Linked DNA regions of Arabidopsis thaliana. The protein of the gene in region 1 purifies or fractionates together with the protein of each later gene. This does not show direct contact. Each region holds a gene or a part of one and is shown in the gene's direction. Other genes may lie near its edges. The genes, in order: SEX1 and SUMO3.

The links.
Region 2: the proteins of SEX1 (region 1) and SUMO3 purify together in Arabidopsis thaliana (affinity purification with western blotting, with the first as the bait; one study listed by BioGRID). This does not show direct contact.

Annotation. Positions count from the first base shown.
Region 1 is NC_003070.9:3,587,917-3,592,762, reverse strand, and holds the start of SEX1 (Pyruvate phosphate dikinase, PEP/pyruvate binding domain-containing protein), read left to right. Parts: upstream 1-1,834; 5' UTR 1,835-1,887; intron 1,888-1,963; 5' UTR 1,964-2,338; intron 2,339-2,687; 5' UTR 2,688-2,719; coding exon 2,720-2,965; intron 2,966-3,168; coding exon 3,169-3,210; intron 3,211-3,297; coding exon 3,298-3,398; intron 3,399-3,491; coding exon 3,492-3,570; intron 3,571-3,688; coding exon 3,689-3,780; intron 3,781-3,879; coding exon 3,880-4,033; intron 4,034-4,452; coding exon 4,453-4,846. Other genes in the region: AT1G10770 (Plant invertase/pectin methylesterase inhibitor superfamily protein), read left to right, coding at 401-904. UniProt on the Arabidopsis thaliana protein: Mediates the incorporation of phosphate into starch-like alpha-glucan, mostly at the C-6 position of glucose units. Acts as an overall regulator of starch mobilization.
Region 2 is NC_003076.8:22,384,429-22,387,930, reverse strand, and holds SUMO3 (small ubiquitin-like modifier 3), read left to right. Parts: upstream 1-1,725; 5' UTR 1,726-1,859; coding exon 1,860-1,934; intron 1,935-2,111; coding exon 2,112-2,261; coding exon of another isoform or gene 2,262-2,352; coding exon 2,353-2,463; 3' UTR 2,464-2,674; downstream 2,675-3,502. Other genes in the region: SUMO2 (small ubiquitin-like modifier 2), read left to right, coding at 3,159-3,230. UniProt on the Arabidopsis thaliana protein: Ubiquitin-like protein which can be covalently attached to target lysines as a monomer. Does not seem to be involved in protein degradation and may function as an antagonist of ubiquitin in the degradation process.

The DNA of each region.
Region 1 (4,846 bases):
GGTTATGATGAACTTATGACAATTGTTTTTTAAACGAAAAATTATGGACACATTTCTTAATTAGCTTTCTTGTTTTCTTAATCTACATTAATAATATACTAGTAGTGATCTAGCAGAATATAATTACAGTTTATGATAAAGTTTGTTTTTGGAGTATACTTATGTATCAAAGAAGTATTGTCCTATGCTTAAAAAAGATAAAAGAAGATAATCTCCTTAAAACAAGATAAACCTCAGATTGCATTACATTAAAATAAAACGAGAAAACGCAAAACGCGCACCACCAACAATTTCAAAACCAAAAAAACTTGTCTATATATAACGTGATTAACTCCTGCATTGAAAAATGACCTGGTGATAATTTCTTCTCAATTCAAATACATAAATAAATATCAATAAAATGGCGGGCCGCGACACATTCCAGCTGCGTTTTGCAGCAGTCGCGGCATCCGCCGCCGTATTGATCTTTCTCATGGCTGGTCAAGTCGCGGAGTCGCGTATGATCAATATCTGCTCTCACACCGCGTATCCATCTTTGTGCCGACCTCTGGTGAAACGTGTCACGAGCCCTAGAAAAGCCACGCACCGAACCATCCAAGCTTTGGAGGCTAAGACGAAACTAGCTCTAGCCGAAACAGCTAGGTTCAAAAACGGTAACCAAGCGGTCAGCACGTGTTACGAGACATTGGGCGACGCGGTTTACAATTTGGCAAGCGCGAGAAAGAGCATAAGGAAACGTGATGTGCCGGCGATGAACACGTATCTAACTGCGGCTGTGTCTGATTACGGTGCATGTGTGGACGGGTTCATTGAAACACAACAGGTTAATGCGATCCAAAATGCAGTGGTTGACTTGAGAAAAATTAGCAGCAATTGCTTGGCGTTGTCTACATTGATTAGATGATCGATTTAAGAGAACAATTGATTTAATTTTTCTCAAAACAAAAACTAATTAATTGAAGAAATAAAAAATCTCAAGCAATTAAAATTTGGGTTTCTTTTTGTTGTTTTTGTTTTGAGAGAGATGTTTGTTGTTGATCCATCATTCGTATGTAACGCCACTGGGTGTAACTAATTATATTTGAATTTCGTGTAATTAATAATCGCTAGTAGATTTTTTCATATTCAACAATTTGCCGATAGAAATGTTTTCCATTCTCCTTTCTTGAACCCACTTTACTTTTTCACTATCAACAATAAGATTAAGTTTTGACCGAAAAATAAAACAATAAGTGACAAAGACAAACACAAACTATAGTAATGCACAACTTTTTGTTTTGTTAACTACTATCACTAATTCATTATTGATATGGATATCATTATGATGTTTTTAGAAAGTATATGTGTGATTATGTTTTACTTTTCCCAGGATCCATAACAAAAAAATATCTTTGAGAAAATAATTTGGCTATATCATATATTGGATAAAAATATTGCCATTTAAAATGGTCTTTTAACTCTTTTTCTTAAAATCTGTATGTATATTATAGTTTGATATGATCATAAAAGCATTCAATAATTTTTCTTTCATGCAAAACTGATAGATCTTGCTCAATGATCATGTTTCAATGTCTTTAAGTGTTTTAAGAAAGTGAGAATTGCTTTGATTTGGATTGAAAAATATTGGACCATAATAAACACACATAACATTATACAAAATTATCCTTTGCTTCTATATTTAACATACATTTTGTTTTCCACAATGTGTAAAACTCTCTATAGAAGAAACACCACACAAAAACACCAAATAAGGTTTAGCTAGGATATAATTGACATGATTGAACAAGTGGGCTTGGGATATATATCACTACAAGAATAGAAAGATAAACAAAAATATCTTCTGCAATTCGTGGTTTGTGAACACAAGAGAAAAAAAAAAAAAAACATGTCGACCAATAAAAAAAAGATACAAGAGAACGAAGCATAAAAATATCAAAACAAAAAGACAAAAACAGGAAAATAGAAAAAAGAAAGAAAAATTAAAAAAAGCTAAAATCAACGGTGAGAAGATTCTGTATATAATAAGAAAATATCACCCAAATAAAAAAAAAAGGTGGAGTCCACAGATACCGTCCATCAACGTATCACTGGGCTCTCTTTCTCCGTGCCGTTCCTCCTACGTGCTCGAATAACGATGTGCCACGTGGTGGAATCGAAGGATAAAGTGTCGTTTTTTACTTCGATTACACGTGAGTGTATGTATGTGTGAGTGAGTGAAGAAGAACAAAGAGCGAAGAAACCCCCCAGCACTCACTTCATCCATAAGATCATTCAAATTCTGGGATCTTCTCTCTTTCTCTCATTGTATTCAGTTTCTTCGTCTCGGTTCGATCATCAGGTATCTTTTTCAATTGAATTTTACCTTCAATTTCGATTGCTTTCGGTGTTTTTGTTATTTGATTCAAATTGCAAATTTTCTTTTGATAGATATTTTCGTTTTGACTATAAAAGACGATTCTTTTCTTCTTAGTGTATATTGCACATGTTCCATTCGCAGAATGAAGTAACTGTTTCTCTACAAAGTGAAAATAAAATAAAAATAACAAGTGTGGTTCTCTTGTCTAACTCTGTCAGATTCTTCTTTTTGAGACAAATAGTATAACTTGTTCCTTTTTTTTCTCATCTATTGCAAAAGCTTCATTGTTTTCCTTATTATCTTATTATATAATCTCTACTTTACTTAACAGATCCGGCAAGTTTGATTCAGTGACAAGAAAGCATGAGTAACTCTGTAGTGCATAACTTACTTAACCGGGGTTTGATTCGTCCTCTTAACTTTGAACATCAAAACAAGCTCAACTCCTCTGTGTACCAAACTTCAACAGCAAATCCGGCTCTTGGCAAGATTGGCAGATCAAAACTTTACGGGAAAGGTCTTAAGCAGGCAGGACGCAGTCTGGTCACTGAAACAGGAGGAAGACCTCTCTCATTTGTTCCACGAGCTGTCCTTGCCATGGATCCTCAGGTTATTTTCTTATGGATTTACTTTTCACCACTATTGACATTGTTTGGAATGTGATATTTTGGTTCCAACTACTCAATGTATGTTAGACGTTTCATGTCCAAAACTTTTTCATTGACCTGAATCATATGCATTGTTCTTCCAATTGAATGCATAAGATAGTTATTTTATCGACATGTGTGCTAAAAAGTTTCATCCTTTAACAGGCAGCCGAGAAATTTAGTCTTGACGGAAATATCGATTTACTGGTAAGTATATCCTTACAAATAATGGAAATTTCTATCTTGTTGGCATTTGTAGACTTAATGGTAGGTTTTATGAATGTAATTGAATAGGTTGAAGTCACTTCTACAACTGTAAGAGAAGTAAATATCCAGATAGCTTATACAAGTGACACATTGTTCCTACACTGGGGTGCAATTCTTGACAACAAAGAGTATGTCCTTGTCTAGTGATGTTCAACTTTCCTAGGTAATAGCTTGTTATGGCACATGGTATAGTTAACTATCTTTCTTATTTTCCATGTCAGAAATTGGGTTCTACCTTCTCGCTCTCCGGATAGAACTCAAAACTTCAAGAACAGTGCGCTTAGAACTCCATTTGTGAAAGTAAGCTTTGAATTCATTCTTCGACGTACATTACAGCGCTACTTGTGATGGTATGATTTCCAGCTGATACCAGTACAACTTAAGATTTCCAAATGATGCTTTGAGTTCTTATCTGCAGTCCGGTGGCAATTCTCACCTTAAACTAGAGATAGATGATCCTGCCATACACGCTATTGAGTTCCTTATATTTGACGAAAGTCGGAACAAATGGTTAGCTTGTTTTCGCTTCTTCTTACTTACTAAGCCTGAGCAGAGAACCTAATTCTGTTTACAATTTTTGTCGTTTCTCATAATCTAAAACATATGCAGGTATAAAAATAATGGTCAGAATTTTCATATAAACTTACCAACGGAAAGGAATGTGAAACAAAATGTTTCTGTTCCTGAAGATCTTGTACAGATCCAAGCATATCTTAGATGGGAACGTAAGGGTAAACAAATGTACAACCCTGAGAAAGAGAAGGTCAGTCAGACGTTGTACCTATACAAGCATATCTTCAAGGATTATTTTTCTTCATATATTTTTAAATTCTTCACCTTTTATGTTGTTCTACAATTCACATAAAGAGGAATCATGATTCTCACCAGCCATTTAGTTGATTCCATCACCAGTACAAATTTCCAACAATTTTGATTTAGATGCAGATTCTGGTATATTGGACTGATCAGCAAATTGATGATAGGTTAGCTAAGTTGAAAATGCTCTTGATTGATTTTTTGGTAATAGCGTTTTAGTTGGCTCTGGTGGCTCTTGAAAATATATTTGTTGCTTTATCTGATGAACCTGTATATATCTCAGTTGCATCAATATCAAGTTCTCTGCATTTTTGTGTAAATCCATTATTTTATAGCTAAGCAGAATAATTTGTCTCTGATCAATAGGAGGAGTATGAAGCCGCCCGGACGGAGCTACGGGAGGAAATGATGCGAGGTGCTTCAGTGGAAGATCTCAGAGCAAAGCTGTTGAAGAAAGATAACAGTAATGAATCCCCAAAATCTAATGGGACATCATCCAGTGGACGGGAGGAAAAGAAAAAAGTTTCCAAGCAACCAGAGCGTAAAAAAAATTATAACACTGACAAGATCCAGCGCAAGGGAAGGGACCTGACTAAGCTTATCTATAAGCATGTTGCTGATTTTGTTGAACCAGAATCCAAATCCTCATCTGAACCACGGTCCTTAACAACTCTGGAGATATACGCCAAAGCAAAGGAGGAACAAGAAACCACTCCAGTCTTTAGCAAGAAAACATTCAAGCTTGAAGGCAGTGCGATTT
Region 2 (3,502 bases), on another chromosome or scaffold:
ATCCAAGTATAGATTTATATGAAATATTTGATAGTAACATTGACTGATTCACAAGTTGGTTGTAACTAATATTTTGACTTAGCAAATTGGGCTAATGAACGCGTTTAGATGTGCGGAGGAAAAATGAACATTTTAAGGTTAGCTAAGCTAAGCAAACACCTCAAATTATTTTCCAGTAGTATAATAATGAATTAATCTAAATGGTCCATCTCCGTCCATGGATAAACAAAAAACGATATTTGTAGAGTTTAGTTGTCCTATACAAATAGAACTCTATCGCTAAGCAATTAATGTTTCCTTCTGATGTAAAACCAAGAATTTTGGATGACATTTACGGCTAGTTTTACTAATTACTTGGTGAAAGATGCTTTTTAGATTTATTTGAATTTAATAATTGTGGCCGAATATTAACGGTTATGTACATATAGGCATAGAATGTTAATACACATACGGTAATTACTACTACAGTTTGAAATATAGTTTTATCTTCGGTGATTGAGACCTGAATAATGAAACTAATTAAGAGTAGACATCATAATAACTCCACTATCAAAAGAGAAAATAATAGACATCATCATTTGGTAATATTGTATTTGATGATTATATACATGTTTTTGTTTGTGTATCAACTTGTCCACTAGGTGGTAATCTTATATGTATCAATGTATGCTGGTTTACATATACTTTAGTATAACAATTTAATTTTTGGATTATGAAAGTAACAATAATTTAATAATGTATCTATGGAGGTTGTCGACATCGTACGGTATGTTTCGACAAGGCCCTTAAGTCTTAAGTCGGTACATGAAATTGAAAATGAAACACAATGACAAGTCCATATGAAAATTGAAAACATTATAATATCCAGAGAGGTGTGTCACCTTCAGATTGACTTATTTGTAACTATTATGAGTTTATGACGAATTTCTAAATATAAACGTTAACTAATATATTCGTATAAATATAACATCATCATTATTAGTTTCTTATCAACCAAGAGAAAGAATTCAATGTGGTAGGTCACTTGGATGCTGTCCAACAAATTGAGTTTTAGATAGGAATGTTAGCATTGTCCCTGATCTTTACGTTACGATACAATGCCTATTAGTTTATCAAATTAAAAACTGGAAATATATTATGTCGGGCCGAAATAGAAGTCGTCACGAAACATAGACTAACCATTTACACACTATGACGGTCGACGTACATTATTTTTTAATATTAAATAATAACCATGCATGCATTAGAAGTTTAGAACATCAAGAAATATATAAATTTTATAAAGAGAGCTTGCCCTAAACTTTGTCAAATAATATCATAATTTTGAGTTTCTTTTTAAAATACCACAAAAGTTATGTTTGCTAAGATTTTTAAAAGTTTCTAACTGTTGTATTTTTTTTGAAATTATTAGATTACCGTGGTAATTAGATTTTATTTTTAAATATGATTTATAAATTTTCTAAAAACTATTTGGTCGGTTCACGAAAATGGGTTCCAACTTTATATACTGTGTAGAAGTAATTAAGCCCACATATGAGCATATTTGATCTTAAACCAGCCCAATAGCCCATTACGAATGCTTGATTAAACGGCAGTGTTTTCATGTACGAATTCCACGCTCTCCTAGCCGTCGGATGATAAGCTACAATGATTATGAGCCGTTCGATATATCACCACAAGAATCTGTAGATCAAAAGTGAGTGCGATCAAGAACTGGTTTCAGTCACTTTTTTGACAAGTCTCTCTTTCTCAAAAGTCAACCCCTTATTTTGCAATACTGTATTGTGAATCTCTCTATCAGGCCTTCGTATTTCTCACAGACTGGAGTTTTTGTTTCATAAAATCTGATAAAAGGAAAGATGTCTAACCCTCAAGATGACAAGCCCATCGACCAAGAACAAGAAGCTCATGTCATTCTCAAGGTCAAGAGCCAGGTTTTTTCACTGTGTTCCCTCTTTAATCTCCTTGAAATTTTCTGTCGTTGCTGCTTGGTTGATAATACTATATATACAGTTTCTTGATATGAAAACTTTGATGATACTCTTTTCCAAACTGTGATGATCTAAAGTATAGAGTGATTAAAATCTTTTTTCTTGATTGGTGATACTAAGGATGGAGACGAAGTCTTATTTAAGAACAAAAAAAGCGCTCCACTTAAAAAGCTCATGTATGTTTACTGCGACCGCCGAGGTTTGAAATTAGACGCATTCGCTTTCATTTTTAATGGAGCTCGTATAGGTGGCCTGGAGACTCCAGATGAGGCAAATCACTCTCTTTTTCATTTCCCTTTTACAATTTATATGTTTGTCAAAAGTGTATCATTTACTAAACCAAGATTCTCCAATTTTAAAGCTTGATATGGAAGATGGAGATGTGATAGATGCGTGCCGGGCGATGAGTGGTGGTCTACGAGCAAATCAGCGTCAGTGGTCTTATATGCTTTTCGATCATAATGGGCTTTAATTAGGAATAATTTGGCTGGCTTTGTGATATTTGACTACTTTCTTCAAGCAAAATTACTTGAAGTTTAAATCATGGTCGGTTATCGTGTGTGTAAATGACTCATGAGTGATTGGATCTTATGAATTATGATATTAATGGTATCTGGTTACGGATTTTTAGAATCTTTGTACTTTGTTAATTTTACAACCGTGAATAAACAACTCATCAAAACCTCTAAAACTCAAGTTGGCTAATTGTAAAAGGTCACACAACAAAACCATATTAAACAATTGAAATCTTTACTGGTTTGATCAAAATCAAACGGTTCACTTTGAACATCTTCACTTTTCCCAACTCAAACAAATCTACTCGAAAGCTGAGATTTTCACATTTTAAAATTCTTGGGTAGACACAGAAGTAACCAGCCCATTTGAGCCCATTAAGAATGCTAAAACGACATCATTTTAAGTTAGAGATTATACTCACTCACAGCCGTCGAATGATATAGATCAATGATTATGAACCGTTAGATAAACAAGAATCCGATGCGACCAAAGATAGTGGTTTCAGTCTTTTTTATTCTCTGCCGAGTCTCTCTCTCTCCCTCAAACCCTCAAGTTCTGCAATCCCGCGAATCTCTCTTAGGGCTTCGCTTATATCGCAGATCGAAGTTCTTGTTTCCAATCGCCGACCGTATAATCTGATAATAAAGTAAGATGTCTGCTACTCCGGAAGAAGACAAGAAGCCTGACCAAGGAGCTCACATCAATCTCAAAGTCAAGGGACAGGTTTTCTATTTCTCACTCACTCTCTCGACTTCTATTTCTTGCATTGTGTAACGATTCGTTGTCTGGTTAAAGTTTTGAGTGTGATTAGGATCTTTATAGCTTCTGATTGCTTCAATTCTAGGGTTTTGAGTTTGTCTGCGTTATTCCCAATTTCTATTCTGGTTAGCTTGTCTATGAGGTAGTGATTATTGTGTAAGCGTGACTTTTAATTGGCTTAAATTTGAAGCAAACAAAAGTTATCTGAGAATTGTGAATTATGTTTTGACTCATAA